Saccharomyces cerevisiae S288C: one gene and its partners. Changing the gene in region 3 together with the main gene of any one other region gives a genetic interaction. Each region holds a gene or a part of one and is shown on either strand. Other genes may lie near its edges.

Region 1 (3,791 bases), on a different chromosome or scaffold from region 3:
ACAACTGAAATGTCTCGCCATTAACCAGGACCTAAAAATTGTCCATTCAGAAACAGTGGAATTTGAAAAGGATCTTCCGCATTATCACACAAAGAAGGGTGTCTATATACACGGCGACACTATCGAATGTCCCGTAGCCATGTGGTTAGAGGCTCTAGATCTGGTTCTCTCGAAATATCGCGAGGCTAAATTTCCATTGAACAAAGTTATGGCCGTCTCAGGGTCCTGCCAGCAGCACGGGTCTGTCTACTGGTCCTCCCAAGCCGAATCTCTGTTAGAGCAATTGAATAAGAAACCGGAAAAAGATTTATTGCACTACGTGAGCTCTGTAGCATTTGCAAGGCAAACCGCCCCCAATTGGCAAGACCACAGTACTGCAAAGCAATGTCAAGAGTTTGAAGAGTGCATAGGTGGGCCTGAAAAAATGGCTCAATTAACAGGGTCCAGAGCCCATTTTAGATTTACTGGTCCTCAAATTCTGAAAATTGCACAATTAGAACCAGAAGCTTACGAAAAAACAAAGACCATTTCTTTAGTGTCTAATTTTTTGACTTCTATCTTAGTGGGCCATCTTGTTGAATTAGAGGAGGCAGATGCCTGTGGTATGAACCTTTATGATATACGTGAAAGAAAATTCAGTGATGAGCTACTACATCTAATTGATAGTTCTTCTAAGGATAAAACTATCAGACAAAAATTAATGAGAGCACCCATGAAAAATTTGATAGCGGGTACCATCTGTAAATATTTTATTGAGAAGTACGGTTTCAATACAAACTGCAAGGTCTCTCCCATGACTGGGGATAATTTAGCCACTATATGTTCTTTACCCCTGCGGAAGAATGACGTTCTCGTTTCCCTAGGAACAAGTACTACAGTTCTTCTGGTCACCGATAAGTATCACCCCTCTCCGAACTATCATCTTTTCATTCATCCAACTCTGCCAAACCATTATATGGGTATGATTTGTTATTGTAATGGTTCTTTGGCAAGGGAGAGGATAAGAGACGAGTTAAACAAAGAACGGGAAAATAATTATGAGAAGACTAACGATTGGACTCTTTTTAATCAAGCTGTGCTAGATGACTCAGAAAGTAGTGAAAATGAATTAGGTGTATATTTTCCTCTGGGGGAGATCGTTCCTAGCGTAAAAGCCATAAACAAAAGGGTTATCTTCAATCCAAAAACGGGTATGATTGAAAGAGAGGTGGCCAAGTTCAAAGACAAGAGGCACGATGCCAAAAATATTGTAGAATCACAGGCTTTAAGTTGCAGGGTAAGAATATCTCCCCTGCTTTCGGATTCAAACGCAAGCTCACAACAGAGACTGAACGAAGATACAATCGTGAAGTTTGATTACGATGAATCTCCGCTGCGGGACTACCTAAATAAAAGGCCAGAAAGGACTTTTTTTGTAGGTGGGGCTTCTAAAAACGATGCTATTGTGAAGAAGTTTGCTCAAGTCATTGGTGCTACAAAGGGTAATTTTAGGCTAGAAACACCAAACTCATGTGCCCTTGGTGGTTGTTATAAGGCCATGTGGTCATTGTTATATGACTCTAATAAAATTGCAGTTCCTTTTGATAAATTTCTGAATGACAATTTTCCATGGCATGTAATGGAAAGCATATCCGATGTGGATAATGAAAATTGGGATCGCTATAATTCCAAGATTGTCCCCTTAAGCGAACTGGAAAAGACTCTCATCTAAAATATGTTTGAATAATTTATCATGCCCTGACAAGTACACACAAACACAGACACATAATATACATACATATATATATATCACCGTTATTATGCGTGCACATGACAATGCCCTTGTATGTTTCGTATACTGTAGCAAGTAGTCATCATTTTGTTCCCCGTTCGGAAAATGACAAAAAGTAAAATCAATAAATGAAGAGTAAAAAACAATTTATGAAAGGGTGAGCGACCAGCAACGAGAGAGACAAATCAAATTAGCGCTTTCCAGTGAGAATATAAGAGAGCATTGAAAGAGCTAGGTTATTGTTAAATCATCTCGAGGGAAAAATTCAAAAATGCTAAGTGCAATTTCCAAAGTCTCCACTTTAAAATCATGTACAAGATATTTAACCAAATGCAACTATCATGCATCAGCTAAATTACTTGCTGTAAAGACATTTTCAATGCCTGCAATGTCTCCTACTATGGAGAAAGGGGGGATTGTGTCTTGGAAATATAAAGTTGGCGAACCATTCAGCGCGGGCGATGTGATATTAGAAGTGGAAACAGATAAATCTCAAATTGATGTGGAAGCACTGGACGATGGTAAACTAGCTAAGATCCTGAAAGATGAAGGCTCTAAAGATGTTGATGTTGGTGAACCTATTGCTTATATTGCTGATGTTGATGATGATTTAGCTACTATAAAGTTACCCCAAGAGGCCAACACCGCAAATGCGAAATCTATTGAAATTAAGAAGCCATCCGCAGATAGTACTGAAGCAACACAACAACATTTAAAAAAAGCCACAGTTACACCAATAAAAACCGTTGACGGCAGCCAAGCCAATCTTGAACAGACGCTATTACCATCCGTGTCATTACTACTGGCTGAGAACAATATATCCAAACAAAAGGCTTTGAAGGAAATTGCGCCATCTGGTTCCAACGGTAGACTATTAAAGGGTGATGTGCTAGCATACCTAGGGAAAATACCACAAGATTCGGTTAACAAGGTAACAGAATTTATCAAGAAGAACGAACGTCTCGATTTATCGAACATTAAACCTATACAGCTCAAACCAAAAATAGCCGAGCAAGCTCAAACAAAAGCTGCCGACAAGCCAAAGATTACTCCTGTAGAATTTGAAGAGCAATTAGTGTTCCATGCTCCCGCCTCTATTCCGTTTGACAAACTGAGTGAATCATTGAACTCTTTCATGAAAGAAGCTTACCAGTTCTCACACGGAACACCACTAATGGACACAAATTCGAAATACTTTGACCCTATTTTCGAGGACCTTGTCACCTTGAGCCCAAGAGAGCCAAGATTTAAATTTTCCTATGACTTGATGCAAATTCCCAAAGCTAATAACATGCAAGACACGTACGGTCAAGAAGACATATTTGACCTCTTAACAGGTTCAGACGCGACTGCCTCATCAGTAAGACCCGTTGAAAAGAACTTACCTGAAAAAAACGAATATATACTAGCGTTGAATGTTAGCGTCAACAACAAGAAGTTTAATGACGCGGAGGCCAAGGCAAAAAGATTCCTTGATTACGTAAGGGAGTTAGAATCATTTTGAATAAAAAACACGCTTTTTCAGTTCGAGTTTATCATTATCAATACTGCCATTTCAAAGAATACGTAAATAATTAATAGTAGTGATTTTCCTAACTTTATTTAGTCAAAAAATTAGCCTTTTAATTCTGCTGTAACCCGTACATGCCCAAAATAGGGGGCGGGTTACACAGAATATATAACATCGTAGGTGTCTGGGTGAACAGTTTATTCCTGGCATCCACTAAATATAATGGAGCCCGCTTTTTAAGCTGGCATCCAGAAAAAAAAAGAATCCCAGCACCAAAATATTGTTTTCTTCACCAACCATCAGTTCATAGGTCCATTCTCTTAGCGCAACTACAGAGAACAGGGGCACAAACAGGCAAAAAACGGGCACAACCTCAATGGAGTGATGCAACCTGCCTGGAGTAAATGATGACACAAGGCAATTGACCCACGCATGTATCTATCTCATTTTCTTACACCTTCTATTACCTTCTGCTCTCTCTGATTTGGAAAAAGCTGAAAAAAAAGGTTG
Region 2 (3,703 bases), on a different chromosome or scaffold from region 3:
AAAAAGGATGACGACAACACTTTGAAGAGACTAGAAAATTTCATTACCAACACATTCAGGAAGATCAAAGGTGACAAAAAAAATTAAACTTCATGCAATTTCTTGTAGATAAGGAAAAATAGAAGCCTTTACGTAAATAGATAACTATAGTTAAATAATTGTGCATAAAAGAACCAACGATTTATACCTTATTTTTTTTTTTTTTTTTTTATTTATTTTTTTTTTTTTTGCGTAATACAAGCGAAGGCATTGTTTACATGCCAAAACCCAAAACTGAGCTCGAGAGAATAGTTGACGAACGGAAGCTGGATATCAACATAAAATAATGAGCTTACCCGATGGATTTTATATAAGGCGAATGGAAGAGGGGGATTTGGAACAGGTCACTGAGACGCTAAAGGTTTTGACCACCGTGGGCACTATTACCCCCGAATCCTTCAGCAAACTCATAAAATACTGGAATGAAGCCACAGTATGGAATGATAACGAAGATAAAAAAATAATGCAATATAACCCCATGGTGATTGTGGACAAGCGCACCGAGACGGTTGCCGCTACGGGGAATATCATCATCGAAAGAAAGATCATTCATGAACTGGGGCTATGTGGCCACATCGAGGACATTGCAGTAAACTCCAAGTATCAGGGCCAAGGTTTGGGCAAGCTCTTGATTGATCAATTGGTAACTATCGGCTTTGACTACGGTTGTTATAAGATTATTTTAGATTGCGATGAGAAAAATGTCAAATTCTATGAAAAATGTGGGTTTAGCAACGCAGGCGTGGAAATGCAAATTAGAAAATAGTATTGCTGTATAGTACATAGAGGTCGACATATATATATATATATATAATTTTATATGGCATCTAGAGCCTCTAGGGATATTATGGAGTTGCCCCTAATGACGGTCTGCAAGCCTAGCTGGTGGTTATTGGCAGGGTCTTCACCATTTATCTCCATTGCATCATCAAGAACGACGTTTAAGAAAATATCGTAGCCTCGCAAAATTCCTGCCACTTTCCTAGATCCATTTATATTCAGCAATATCTTCTTGTCCATATATTTCTTCAGTTCAGGGGTAGAAACCATTGTATCTGTGCGTGTGTTTGCGTAATCCTGTCCTATGCCGGATACTCTATATGCGTTGTACTTTCTTATACATTCATTGCACCTTTAGAGATTTAATTTTTCTTACCACATTGTTTCTATCAGCACAAACGTGAAAGAGCGTAGGCGAGGCTATAGGAAAAAAGGGAAATGAAGAACAGAGGAATACTCGAACAATGCCACTGACAAACGTATGCGTGACTACCACGAATAGTCATGATGCAATGTACCCTCATATATCCCACTAAAAATATATACTTACTAATGGTTTATGCACGTGAATATCACGTGAATCGTTTTTAATGATGACTCGTTTTTAGAATACTTTATCATCTCGAACGGCTGTTCCCTCATTGGCGAGAAGTCTCCGCGGAGCAACTTAATGGAAACTTAGTGTATTATAATGCTAATAAACAATTTGATGATAATTCGTACCCTTTGACTCACCTCGAATATATATAGATATATATATACATATAACGTATATTTATATATATACGGTTTTGTTCGATTGTCTCTGTCGTACCATCAAAGAACATACTAACAGTTCACAATGTTAAGAATCAGATCACTCCTAAATAATAAGCGTGCCTTTTCGTCCACAGTCAGGACATTGACCATTAACAAGTCACATGATGTAGTCATCATCGGTGGTGGCCCTGCTGGTTACGTGGCTGCTATCAAAGCTGCTCAATTGGGATTTAACACTGCATGTGTAGAAAAAAGAGGCAAATTAGGCGGTACCTGTCTTAACGTTGGATGTATCCCCTCCAAAGCACTTCTAAATAATTCTCATTTATTCCACCAAATGCATACGGAAGCGCAAAAGAGAGGTATTGACGTCAACGGTGATATCAAAATTAACGTAGCAAACTTCCAAAAGGCTAAGGATGACGCTGTTAAGCAATTAACTGGAGGTATTGAGCTTCTGTTCAAGAAAAATAAGGTCACCTATTATAAAGGTAATGGTTCATTCGAAGACGAAACGAAGATCAGAGTAACTCCCGTTGATGGGTTGGAAGGCACTGTCAAGGAAGACCACATACTAGATGTTAAGAACATCATAGTCGCCACGGGCTCTGAAGTTACACCCTTCCCCGGTATTGAAATAGATGAGGAAAAAATTGTCTCTTCAACAGGTGCTCTTTCGTTAAAGGAAATTCCCAAAAGATTAACCATCATTGGTGGAGGAATCATCGGATTGGAAATGGGTTCAGTTTACTCTAGATTAGGCTCCAAGGTTACTGTAGTAGAATTTCAACCTCAAATTGGTGCATCTATGGACGGCGAGGTTGCCAAAGCCACCCAAAAGTTCTTGAAAAAGCAAGGTTTGGACTTCAAATTAAGCACCAAAGTTATTTCTGCAAAGAGAAACGACGACAAGAACGTCGTCGAAATTGTTGTAGAAGATACTAAAACGAATAAGCAAGAAAATTTGGAAGCTGAAGTTTTGCTGGTTGCTGTTGGTAGAAGACCTTACATTGCTGGCTTAGGGGCTGAAAAGATTGGATTAGAAGTAGACAAAAGGGGACGCCTAGTCATTGATGACCAATTTAATTCCAAGTTCCCACACATTAAAGTGGTAGGAGATGTTACATTTGGTCCAATGCTGGCTCACAAAGCCGAAGAGGAAGGTATTGCAGCTGTCGAAATGTTGAAAACTGGTCACGGTCATGTCAACTATAACAACATTCCTTCGGTCATGTATTCTCACCCAGAAGTAGCATGGGTTGGTAAAACCGAAGAGCAATTGAAAGAAGCCGGCATTGACTATAAAATTGGTAAGTTCCCCTTTGCGGCCAATTCAAGAGCCAAGACCAACCAAGACACTGAAGGTTTCGTGAAGATTTTGATCGATTCCAAGACCGAGCGTATTTTGGGGGCTCACATTATCGGTCCAAATGCCGGTGAAATGATTGCTGAAGCTGGCTTAGCCTTAGAATATGGCGCTTCCGCAGAAGATGTTGCTAGGGTCTGCCATGCTCATCCTACTTTGTCCGAAGCATTTAAGGAAGCTAACATGGCTGCCTATGATAAAGCTATTCATTGTTGAAAACAGGAAATAATAAACAGTATAGTATATATATTTATGAAGAACCGCTTAGTATTGAGTAAGTAAAAAAAAATTGCACAAGGAATTAATATATGAGGAAACTACTAGTCGATCAGATAAGATATTATGACCAGATATGCAAAAAAAAGGGGGCGAGCTGGGAATTGAACCCAGGGCCTCTCGCATGCTTTGTCTTCCTGTTTATTCAGGAAGTCGCCCAAAGCGAGAATCATACCACTAGACCACACGCCCGAATTATTGTTGCGTTAATAAGAAAAACAGAAATATTTATATAGGAGAGTGATTAAAGGGAATCTTCTATCAACAATATCCATTCAAATTCAGGCGCATAACGTGAGTGAATATAGAATTGAGCCTCCTATTAGTCTTCCCGATTTCATTCGAGAAACATATCAGGATTAACCTGTACATTATGGTGTCTGTATTACTATTTTACATGTTCACGTTTATTTCTTGCTCATATATTCATATGGATGACCACTACGTTTGCTACCATTAAGTCTAATTATTTCAGCAACCAAT
Region 3 (5,217 bases):
GCGTTGTGGGTTACTGTTTTGGTGCAAAGTTTGCCGTCCAACACATTAGTGGCGACGGGGGTCTTGCCAATGCTGCAGCCATTGCACATCCATCTTTCGTCAGCATCGAGGAAATTGAAGCAATTGATAGCAAGAAACCAATATTGATTTCAGCAGCGGAAGAGGATCACATCTTTCCGGCAAACTTAAGACACTTAACGGAGGAAAAATTAAAGGATAATCACGCTACTTACCAGTTAGACCTCTTCAGTGGTGTGGCTCACGGGTTTGCAGCAAGAGGCGATATATCCATACCTGCCGTAAAATATGCGAAGGAGAAAGTCTTGCTCGACCAAATATACTGGTTCAATCATTTTTCGAATGTTTAAGAGGGAAGAGCTCTTCTTACGTTAACCGTTATATACATATATATATATATTGAGCACTTTATATTATCGGTCAGTTTCATAAATTCGTGGCTATATAATATTAATTAATTGATGAAATGAATAGGTAGGAGTTTGGAAAGAAAATTTTTAAGCAAAGTCATTGCCAAACAAAAAGTCATAATCAAATAAATCCAAACCTCCAAAATAACCTGGAAAAGGAGTATTATTCGCTTGGCCTCTATCGAAACCATTAGGAAGTTGTGATCCAGATGAGTTATCGACAATTGGTGTAGCATTGATTGAATTGTTCAAGTTATTCATCCCGGCTATTGGCGTTTGCTCTTTTGAACCACCACCCGCCAAAGGACCCTGACGTAAACCACTGTTGTAGTCCAAGCTCTGACCAACTGCAGCGGCCGATGATAGTTTTTCTAAATTATCTAAGGATGAACTCCATGTCTTTGTGAAGGTAGGAACAGCATTTCCGAATGGTTCGCCGTTGGTTAAGTCAATTGTGTTTACAGGCGGCTTCAATCCTGAAGAAATTTGAATCTCTTTTTTGATATTACGGTTCAGCTCATCTATATCTTCAACGCTAAAATTCGCAACGTGATTGCATGCCATCAATTCCTCTAATAGCCTATCCTTTTTGTCCAGTTTGACTCCTAAGGTAATGCTTAATGTCTTGATTATCCTAGAATGCATTTGTTCCATTTGAATCATCGTAAATATGCCGTGCCATAATTCACCCTTTCTCATCCTTTGTACAATGACATCGAATAAAGCCAACATCTTAAAAACGGGGAAGTATGTGAATCTTAAATGTTCCGAAGCAGAGCAATATATACCTTCTAAAGCAGACTCGAGATCTCTTTGCAGGGTACTAAATTTTTCGACTTTGGTATTTAACTCCTTTATTCTTGGATCTGTCGTTCCCGATAACTTTTGTACTTCAGAAGATAACATATGGATGGCTAAACCTATTCTTAGTATAATCCCTAATAGGCTGAAGATTGTGCTGGATAGTGCTAACTGAATAAATTTTGTAACATTAAAACTGGTTAAAGAAGATATTGCGTGTCGATATTCTCCGTTGAAAAACTTATTGAAATAATTTATTAGTGACAACGCATCCATACAGCTAACCATAAAGTATTTCTTGTAGAATGGGAAGATACTTTTATCCTTAGTGATAAGTGTTTCAAAATGCAAGAATACGGCCATTGAAGTTCTCAACATCAATAGTTTATTCATTATTCGATTGTGAAATGAAGAAGAATTTTCTGAAGATAATATATTCATTTCTGAAATCACATTCATGTCATCAAGGTCTGACTTATCCTGTGCGACACTTTTTAATGGTACTATGGGAAAGTTTTCCTCCACAAAAATCTCAATCTTTTCTCTTATGAATTCAATTGAATGCAAATGGAAACTACCATAGTATGTCATCGTCAAGTTATCTAAGTCCGACAGGAGTAACGCAAGCTGGGCTCTCTTGAATGTAAATTTATGAATTCTCAAAAGTTTGTGATTATTGATATCGCTTAGATCGCCCCTAACTCGGTTCATATATACCGTCAGAGAATCAGGATCCTTAATATTTAGGAATAAGGCCATTAAAGATATCGGTGAGACAGAATGTCTACCTTTGAGACTTGCTTCAAACGAACAAACGGTAACGATACTCAACCAGAGTATTCTTCTGTGATTCAAGGTTCTTTTATCTGAGGTGGACGGGGAAATCAATTGAGGGAAATCTGAAGGATCTCTGTGGAGACCAATCGAGGTGGAAAGCATCATTATCAAACTACTGATAACATCGGTGGGGTGCTCGAGAAAGAAATCACCCTCTTCAGGAGAAAAAGCAAAAAAAGACCAGATATATAGTAAACATGATATGATGTTTTCATTAGCGCATGCACACCAATTTTCCGATGCTAGACATCTTTGACTCAATAAAATAAAATCGTTCGGTATTGGGTATTTATCAATTATTTCCTTTGAAAGATAAAAACTCGAGTCTGCTGTACTATGATCTAAAAACCTTATTGACATGTATGAGAGTTTCAAGATAACCAATAGAAGACTCAAGTTTTCCACCTTAGCTCTCAAATGTGTGCTACCCATACGTATTTGCACCTTGGAGGGGTTGTTTGGGTCCGGAAAAATTGTTTGACTTAATGATTCTTCAAAAATTTCTAATTCGATGAAAGGTAGACTTGGATAAACGTACTCATAAAAGTGGTTCTTGTAGCGTTCAATAATTTCGTAAGATGGCAAAATAGCTTCACATTCATTGATCAAATTTCTCAATAAATCCGAATATTCGCCACCTTGAGGGCAATGATCCTCCAGATATTGGTAACCGACAGAATTGTAAAGCATTGATAATAGCATACCGATTTTCAAGTTTCTATTTGAATTTGTATTTTGTAGTATTCTATCAGTGAATTCGTTTACACGATTTTTTTCATCTTCGGTTTGACACTGTCTGATTAGCATTTCCTTCAATTTCAAAAGGTTATTTGCTACGCTAGGCTGGGCTCTTGTAATATTCGCGTTTGCCGTCAATGCCGGTATCATCGTGTTCTTTGAAGTGTCAAGGAACACTGAAGTGACCAGGATTTTTAGAAAACAGTCCTGAATTATAATATAATTTTCAGATAACGGCTTAACTTCTCTTTTCATGACTTTACTCATGATCATGGTTGGATGACTTCTATACAAGTTGATTTCAATATCATTTCTGGTACCATTGTTTATATCCCCGTTACCACTTTGTTCATATATAGGTTCCATTTTATGCTGCTTCTTGGTATCAGGACTGTCCCCGCTAGCATTGTTTGTATTGATCGGACTTGCTGATCTCTTGCCTGATTCATTCACCTCTCTCTCTGTTAGTAGCTTCATAGCTTTATCTTTCCAATAAAACATATCTTTTTCCAACCTTGATATAATGGCGTCTTTACTCGGAATTCGTGGTGCTGGCTGTTTTGATACGTCATAAACACATTTTAACCCATGCTTGACGCATCGACCACATTCAGGTTTTTCTCTATCACACTTTGTTTTTGACTTCCTACAAGCCTGGCAGACAAACAATATTCTATTTCTTTTCCTATTATGTGTTTCGGAGTTCTCGGGGGCAGGCGATGTGCTTGAGTGCTCAGCTTCTAATCCAGGCGTTGGGTTATTGAACCCTAAGAAAAACGCCTCCGAATATGGCTTGGTAGAGCTATTATCATCATTTCCGGCATGTGGGGCCTTCTGCGTACTATTTTCGACCATGACTTACGCAACCTAATCTATTATTAACCTGCTTCTAACACAAAATAGCCAACAGTAAATCCCTTCTGGAGGATCTGTTTCCTTCTCTACACGTCAAAAAAGATGTCAGAAAAAAGCGGCAATTGCGTACATTTAAGGAAGCAGAGCCAAAGCGAATTTCACATTTAAGGTTTTTATCGCTGAAATATGTGTGGTGTTGGGATGTAATGGAGATAATACACCTTTTTGAGCGGTTTTCTATGAAATATAATGTAGGATATCCTTGCCCTTAAATATTTATATAATAAGTTGTTACATGTGAGTATATATTGGATTACAAATATGGGTTGTTGTTGCGGGCGTTTTCGTTGCTGCCGTTGTTGTTAAAATGCGAATATGATTTATTGGAATTCCCCAGGTAGAGACTTGATTCAGGCTTCATTAAACTGGAGGTGCTTGTATTATTCGGCGCTAGATTAGTACGAGAAGCAGATGACGCACGTTGGTACTGTGGAGACAAGAAGCTGCCACCCGTACCCATGACAGCGGAGGTTGGTTGCACAGGTTGCTCCGTTACTTCCGAGGCATCGAAGGGAGAGGAATTTTGCTTAAAAGAGGATGAACTAGTCTCATCATCAAAGAGTCTTGCTGTATTTGTGTTTGCATTCAGGTTCTTGCCGAAAGTGTCGTCACGGAACATTTTTTCTTCCTCATTTTCATTGGTGTCCATAACAGCTTTTCTCAATTCAAACAGTTCAGAATCATTTTTGTTTTTGCCATCGAAATCATTTTGAATCTTAGGAATGAATGACACACGGTCATCTTTCATTGGTTGGTAACGGACATCTGGGTTTCTGTGTAGTAATGCCAGTGTACAGGTGACAATAGTGAACAATAATAGGAATAGAGCAAACACCGCGTTCAAAACGAACAGAATAACCGCCATCACTGACGAAACCACTGCTGGTTGCTTGAACAAATTACTGAAAAACAAAAAGAAAAATGCATTGATCAAATTCACCAAATGAATAGCAATATTGAAAACATTAGTTCTCTTGTCCAAATATGGTCTTATCCAACAGAGACAAACGAAGTAAGCTAGTTCAATGACAAAGATGATCATTGCTTGAGCCTTACCTTGGTTTTGTAAAACGGCAACAAACAGGGATCTTAAGAACGCATAACTTAATAAGGGTAAAAGCCACCAAAACTTATCTGCTTTGAATTGAACGTATAAGAACCCAAACTTGTTCAAGAAGTAGGTATCACTGTAAAGTAGGTACGCAGGATTCTTGTATAATCTGAGAGACTCTCTTCCCTTGATGAAAACCCTTATAGTTCCATAAACCAGAAGTCCCGTGATGATCAGTAATATTACTACCGCATCAACAACAATCGCTGGAGAGTTGACCTGAGTAAATTCCCAAATCGCCAGAAGAGAAACTTGAGGGAAGGCGATGATAGATAATCTGAAAAGGGTGCCTTTGATAATACTCCCCCAGTTCTTCCTATATTGGAAGAAATTGGAAGTCTCTTTCAATATTCTTGCTCTTGTAAGAACTTCCAATAGCGCCTTAAA
Region 4 (5,614 bases), on a different chromosome or scaffold from region 3:
TTTATCAATTGTATATATCTATCGAAGCCAATTGCTCCTTTCACTAACATGGAGAAACTGAATAATCCTAACAGAAGACTAAGGACCGTGGTGGACGTATCAGCAGACACTACCAACCCTCACAACCCCATCCCAATATACACTGTGGCTACTGTGTTTAACAAACCTACCGTTCTGGTACCTACCACTGCCGGGCCTAAATTATCTGTCATCTCTATTGATCACTTGCCTTCTTTGCTGCCAAGAGAAGCTTCAGAATTTTTCTCTCATGATCTCTTACCATCTTTAGAGCTCCTACCTCAAAGAAAAACTGCTCCTGTCTGGGTTAGAGCCAAGAAATTGTTCGATAGACATTGCGCTCGTGTTAAAAGATCTTCAAGATTGTAGTTTACATTTAAAGTATATACATTATCGTTACGCTGACATTTACAAGTTTAATTTTTTTTTGACTTTTTTTAAATGACTTTCTCTTCTTTTAAGTGTACTGTCTTTTCATTATACACACATATATATATATATATACGTAAAAAAGCAGACTAACTGACAATTAAATCGTTCAACATTCTTGTTGTTTGCAGGTTTGATAATTTTGACCTGAATGCAGTTTTCATCCTTTCATTTCCCAGCAAGAACTTTGCTAATGCAATTCTCAAGTACTCTGAGATTAATTCGCTTATATGATTGATGGAACTATCTTGGTTGCCAAATTTGTACATGATGAACCATGTCAAAAGTAGTAGTGTTAAGGGTATCCAGAAAAATATTAACATTTTATCATTTCGGAAGTTTTGTTTGTTTTGGAAGAATCTGTTAAACTGTTTTTTCAAAAATTCTTCCTCTTCCTCATAATCCTCTTCCTCCGAATTTTCAGAGTTTTCAATATTAGATGCTGACTGCTCCACAATACTGTCTTGATTTGTGGTTTTCAATTTATCATCTTTACCCCAAGACAACGGGAACAGATCCTCATATTTTGGTAAGTCATCATTAATTCGATGTAAAACTCTATTCCAGAGAGATGTACTACCATTATCCTCTTCGGGTTCGTTGGCGCTAGATCCAATATCAAGGAGTTCGCTTTGTTCCTCCCTGCATGCAACACCTGGTTTTTCTACTTCGTCAGTGACGAACAGATCTTCATCCCCGTCTTCTTCGAAATCACTTTGGTCGTACTCAGAGTAACTTGAATTCTCAAATAGTTGCAAGGTTGGATGCTGAATCTCCATAGAAGTGGGATTTATCATGCTTTGGCTTTCGAATAAGTTCTCATTCAAAGATTCATTGTCTAGCAGGCTTGAATTGAAACTGGATTGTGAATATTTCCTGCTAATAGAATAATTACTGTCTGTTTCTACACTATCGGTAAACTTCGTACCGTTTTGGAATTCTTCAAACAATGACAATACTTCGCTGATATAAGTGTCATTATGAACAAACTTATGGTTGTCTCTGTTATCTTGTTTTTTGTCTATTTCCTTTGAATGAATGTGGTTTGCTATGAATACTTCTCTTGCAGTTAATCCGTTGTGTGACCTCAGTGAATAATTTACTTTACAATTTAAAAGCATCTTAATAATTTTAGGGTCACCACTTATGCAAGCAAAATGTAATGGAGTTAGCCCAAAGGAATCAATATCGTTAACACGAGCACCCTTTTTAATCAATGTATACACAAGGCTTGAGTAATTTTTCAAACAGGCAAGATGTAATAAAGTTCTCCCTAATGAATCACATATGGAAATATTGGAATTTATGTTCAATGATTTTATAACTTTTTGTATCAAGACTTCATCGGAGTAAAGAACACTTGTGTTCAGATTCATACTGTGTTGGTTTGGAGAGGGACCTGTGCTTTTTGAACAGCTGTTGCCATTTGTACCGCTATCAGGAGAATCATTGCCAACAATCCTCTTCGCGATATTTCTTGCATCTTCTAACTTACCATTCATTTTTAATCCCACAATTTGCAAAGCCAATTCAATCAGTTGCCTATCAGTATCATCAACATAGGTAAATATGGCCTTTTTATTGTCATTGATCTCAATTTCTTGGGGAAGGTCATCGTTATTATTTTCATTATTCGTATCAGTAATAGAGACGAAAACTTGACCCGCGTAGGCAGCGGGAGGGAGATAAGTGACGATCGTGGTCTCACTCCAGCATTGCGTAGAAAGGGCAAGATTAGAGCCGAACTTTACAGAAAGACCATCTTTGAAGTTACAACCCAGTAATGTAACTTCGATACCACCATTGATTGGGCCTTGTGAAGGTATAACGCGATTAATTGATGGCAAATTATTGTTGTTGTTTTTCATTGAGAAATCTTGCATTGAATGTAAAGCTGGATTCATCGTATTTGTTGCACTGATTGAATTTGAAAAGGAATGCTTGAATAGGGGTTTACCAATGTCATTTTCCAAATTATTGCGTGCTCTTTTCCGTTGGTTCAATTGACTCTGTTGTTCAATATTTGTCAAAGAGATAGTACGGACGGGATTGTCATTATCGCGATGATGATAGTTAAATGATTCTGAGCCTTCTTCGCTCATAGATGTTGGTGATGGAATATGCTGATTGGGCAGAGAAAGGTTCAGTGATAAGTTATTGTTCTGAAGCAAATCTGTCTGTTGAGAGATGGAATATGGGAATGGTACGTTTTTGTCTTTCAGTGGAATATTATTCATTTGACTGTCATTATCATATGGGTTGTGTTGATAAGTATATTGAAATGGCATATTTTCGTCTTTGCTCAATTGGTTGTTATCCGTTGAATAATATTCTGTGGTAGATTCTTCTTCCGTTAGCTGCCTTCTGGACGAGGTAGTAGTGTTATTAAACTTGGTGGTATCCATATTTGCTGGTTTTCTATCCGTGATCATAATAGGTGTTGTCGTAAACTTACCCAACAGTCTATTTTGCCAATCTGTTATAGTGAATAATATGACAAAGCCATTATTTGCCTTATGGTGCCTGCAATAACAAACTAGCCTGGTAGTTAATTCAAACTCCTTAACATTATCGAAAGTTTTCATTATGGGGAAAACCTGTTTGTTATTGAACACGACTAACCTTCTATTAATATTATTACACCAGAGTAAATTGTCTGCAATACCTGATTTCCTTCTAGCGGCTCTTCTTTGTTCTCGCTTAACACACTTGGTACAAACATTTGTCGTTCTGTTGCTGACCGCACATAGAACAAACGCATTGATGTACAGAAGATTTTTCTTGAAGTCTTCTGAAAAATCCTCGATATTTTTTTTTAAATAAAACTTTTCTCTTGAAATGGAATCGCTAGGCAAGTAAAGCATGCTTTGGTTTAGTGGTGTTTCAGACGTAATTTTCACTTTCAGTTTCAGTTGATTTTCCACTCTAGATACTTGTGGCAAACCTGAGACCTCTACATCCAAAGGTAGCTGCGCTGCGTTCACTTTAAGGTAATCTAAAGGATTTATGTAAACAGATTGAATCGTCTCCTTTCTTCCAAATACAATCTCGTCATGAGCAGGGTTGCCTATATTTTTTTCATTAAAAACCTTATTTTCATGCTCGTCCTCTTCTTCCTCCTTCAAGGCTCTGTTACTTTCCATTTCCTCCTCCAGTGGAGTGGACACGTTTTGGTTGACATGAGTATTGTTACCGATACCTTCGAAAGACAACAGGTTGGGCGAATCACCCTCATCTGTCTTGATAAAATTTTGGAAATTAGCACCCTCATCAATATTAATATGCGCCATGCTATCATCCTGGTACATGGGAGACCCGTTCAGGAGGAAATCGTCCAAGAGCTGTGATTCCATTACGCTATTCGCGTGCAATTGAGATATATGAGGGTCGCTTCCAGGTGTTTCCGTTAAGAACTCACTGTTCTGCTGCATAACGAAATGTTCTGTTCGCCAAAATGACCTTCAATAAGTGCCTTTAAATGCACAATAAGGGGGGGAAGCAGGATCTAGTCTTAACGACCCCAAGAACGACTGTTGATCAAGCGCCGCTGTCCTTTTAAAAGGCTTTCGGCGGCTGTATTTTCTGGTTTAGAGCTCACCCATTTGAAAATGTTGAGTTTTTTGTCATGATCCACGATATAAAAAGAAATACGACATTTCTAGGGTAACATCAGAATGCCCTTGCTTTTATTGTTAGGGTTATTTTCAAAAGTAGAATTTTGGAAATAAGTCCTAGCCTTTTTGTAACACTAACCCTGAGACAAAGTGCCAGATAAGATAAGATGGATTGGCAAATAAATGGGGAAAGATAAGCGAGGTAAGACTGATAAGAAGCATATGCGGTCTATTCATGTGCATTCGCATATATAAGTCAGTAACTGTCATCCAATCGCTCTTGATGCTTATCTTGTAGGGCAAAAAATCTTTGAAGCAAAGATATGGTGACCGTGGTGGCGGAGACATTGACGAAAGAGTCCTTCGAGGAGTATGGGACGATAATTTCGCCAGATGAAGAGATTTCAAGGATGCAAAACCTTGAAAAAGGTGCAAACCAGGGAACAGCGATCAAATTGCTTCAAGTAAGCCAGGTAGAGAATAAATCTACCAGTAAAGTTCCCAATTGGAACCTATTCCGTTGCTTTCCACAGCCGCACCTGAATAGAGTATTCACTCAAGGCTCCAATCAGGCGATTTCTCATTCTATCAAAGTCCTCGAAAAGCATCCGTGTAGTACGCAGACGTTTGTGCCTATGGGGAGAACGTCAGCGGAAGTAGCATACTTGGTAGTAGTCGCTAAAGAAATTGGAAATAAGCCAGACTTGTCTACGTTGAGGGCTTTTACATGTTTGGGTAATCAGGCCGTTACCTATGGCTTAGGTACCTGGCATGCGCCCATGATAGTACTTGGCAAGGAAGAACATTTGGATTTTTCAGTCTTAATCTACGAAAGTCTGGACCCTGACAGGCCCGAGAAGGACTGTGTGGAAGAACACTACAGCGATGGCGACGTTTGTATTATCATCTAATTCTGCGACTGTGGGCGAAGTAAATATGTAAATGTTCATGTATTAGTAATTTCATAGGTTTACGATTATCGACATAAAATCTCCGCTGAAAGTTGCGGTGCGATAGAATACCGCGGATTTTGGAAAATTGCGTTTGCTTTTCTTATCACATAAATTGAATTTCATAAGTTTTGGCTTATCTTGGATAAGGTACATCGTGAAAGTATCACAAAGATTGGATAGTTTCGTCAATTGGTGAAGCAATAAGTATAAAATGGGGACATTTACGCATGTAGTCTTAATTCTTCACTTTCTGTGCAGTTGATATCACTTAGAGTATGTGTCATAGGCACGGTAAAGAGCACTGAACAATGGTGAAGATAAGCTTGGACAACACTGCTCTATACGCAGACATCGACACGACTCCTCAATTTGAACCTTCCAAAACTACTGTAGCTGATATTTTAACAAAAGATGCCTTAGAGTTCATTGTTTTGCTGCATAGAACTTTCAATTCAACACGGAAACAGCTTTTAGCCAACAGAAGCAATTTACAATCAAAGTTAGACTCTGGTGAATACCGATTTGATTTCTTGCCGGAAACCGAACAAATCAGGAACGATCCTACATGGCAAGGTGCTATCCCAGCCCCTGGTTTGATCA

Evidence for each region.
Region 1: mutations in OAF1 (region 3) and PDX1 impair growth when combined (synthetic growth defect), as found in Saccharomyces cerevisiae (one study listed by BioGRID).
Region 2: mutations in OAF1 (region 3) and LPD1 impair growth when combined (synthetic growth defect), as found in Saccharomyces cerevisiae (one study listed by BioGRID).
Region 4: mutations in OAF1 (region 3) and MGA2 together harm fitness more than expected from each alone (negative genetic interaction), as found in Saccharomyces cerevisiae (3 studies listed by BioGRID).

What each region holds. Positions count from the first base shown.
Region 1 is NC_001139.9:883,993-887,783, reverse strand, and holds PDX1 (Pdx1p), read left to right. Parts: upstream 1-2,042; coding exon 2,043-3,275; downstream 3,276-3,791. Other genes in the region: XKS1 (xylulokinase), read left to right, coding at 1-1,711. UniProt on the Saccharomyces cerevisiae protein: Required for anchoring dihydrolipoamide dehydrogenase (E3) to the dihydrolipoamide transacetylase (E2) core of the pyruvate dehydrogenase complexes of eukaryotes. This specific binding is essential for a functional PDH complex.
Region 2 is NC_001138.5:101,085-104,787, reverse strand, and holds LPD1 (dihydrolipoyl dehydrogenase), read left to right. Parts: upstream 1-1,660; coding exon 1,661-3,160; downstream 3,161-3,703. Other genes in the region: MDJ1 (Mdj1p), read left to right, coding at 1-87; GNA1 (glucosamine 6-phosphate N-acetyltransferase), read left to right, coding at 326-805; mRNA splicing protein SMX2, read right to left, coding at 856-1,089.
Region 3 is NC_001133.9:47,006-52,222, reverse strand, and holds OAF1 (oleate-activated transcription factor OAF1), read right to left. Parts: upstream 3,660-5,217; coding exon 516-3,659; downstream 1-515. Other genes in the region: protein AIM2, read left to right, coding at 1-368; flavin adenine dinucleotide transporter FLC2, read right to left, coding at 3,973-5,217. UniProt on the Saccharomyces cerevisiae protein: The PIP2-OAF1 heterodimer acts as a transcriptional activator to induce the transcription of genes encoding proteins involved in fatty acid beta-oxidation, a response called oleic acid induction, when cells grow on fatty acids as sole carbon source.
Region 4 is NC_001141.2:414,388-420,001, reverse strand, and holds MGA2 (Mga2p), read right to left. Parts: upstream 3,879-5,614; coding exon 537-3,878; downstream 1-536. Other genes in the region: LYS1 (saccharopine dehydrogenase (NAD+, L-lysine-forming)), read left to right, coding at 1-387; DAL3 (ureidoglycolate hydrolase), read left to right, coding at 4,385-4,972; malate synthase DAL7, read left to right, coding at 5,323-5,614.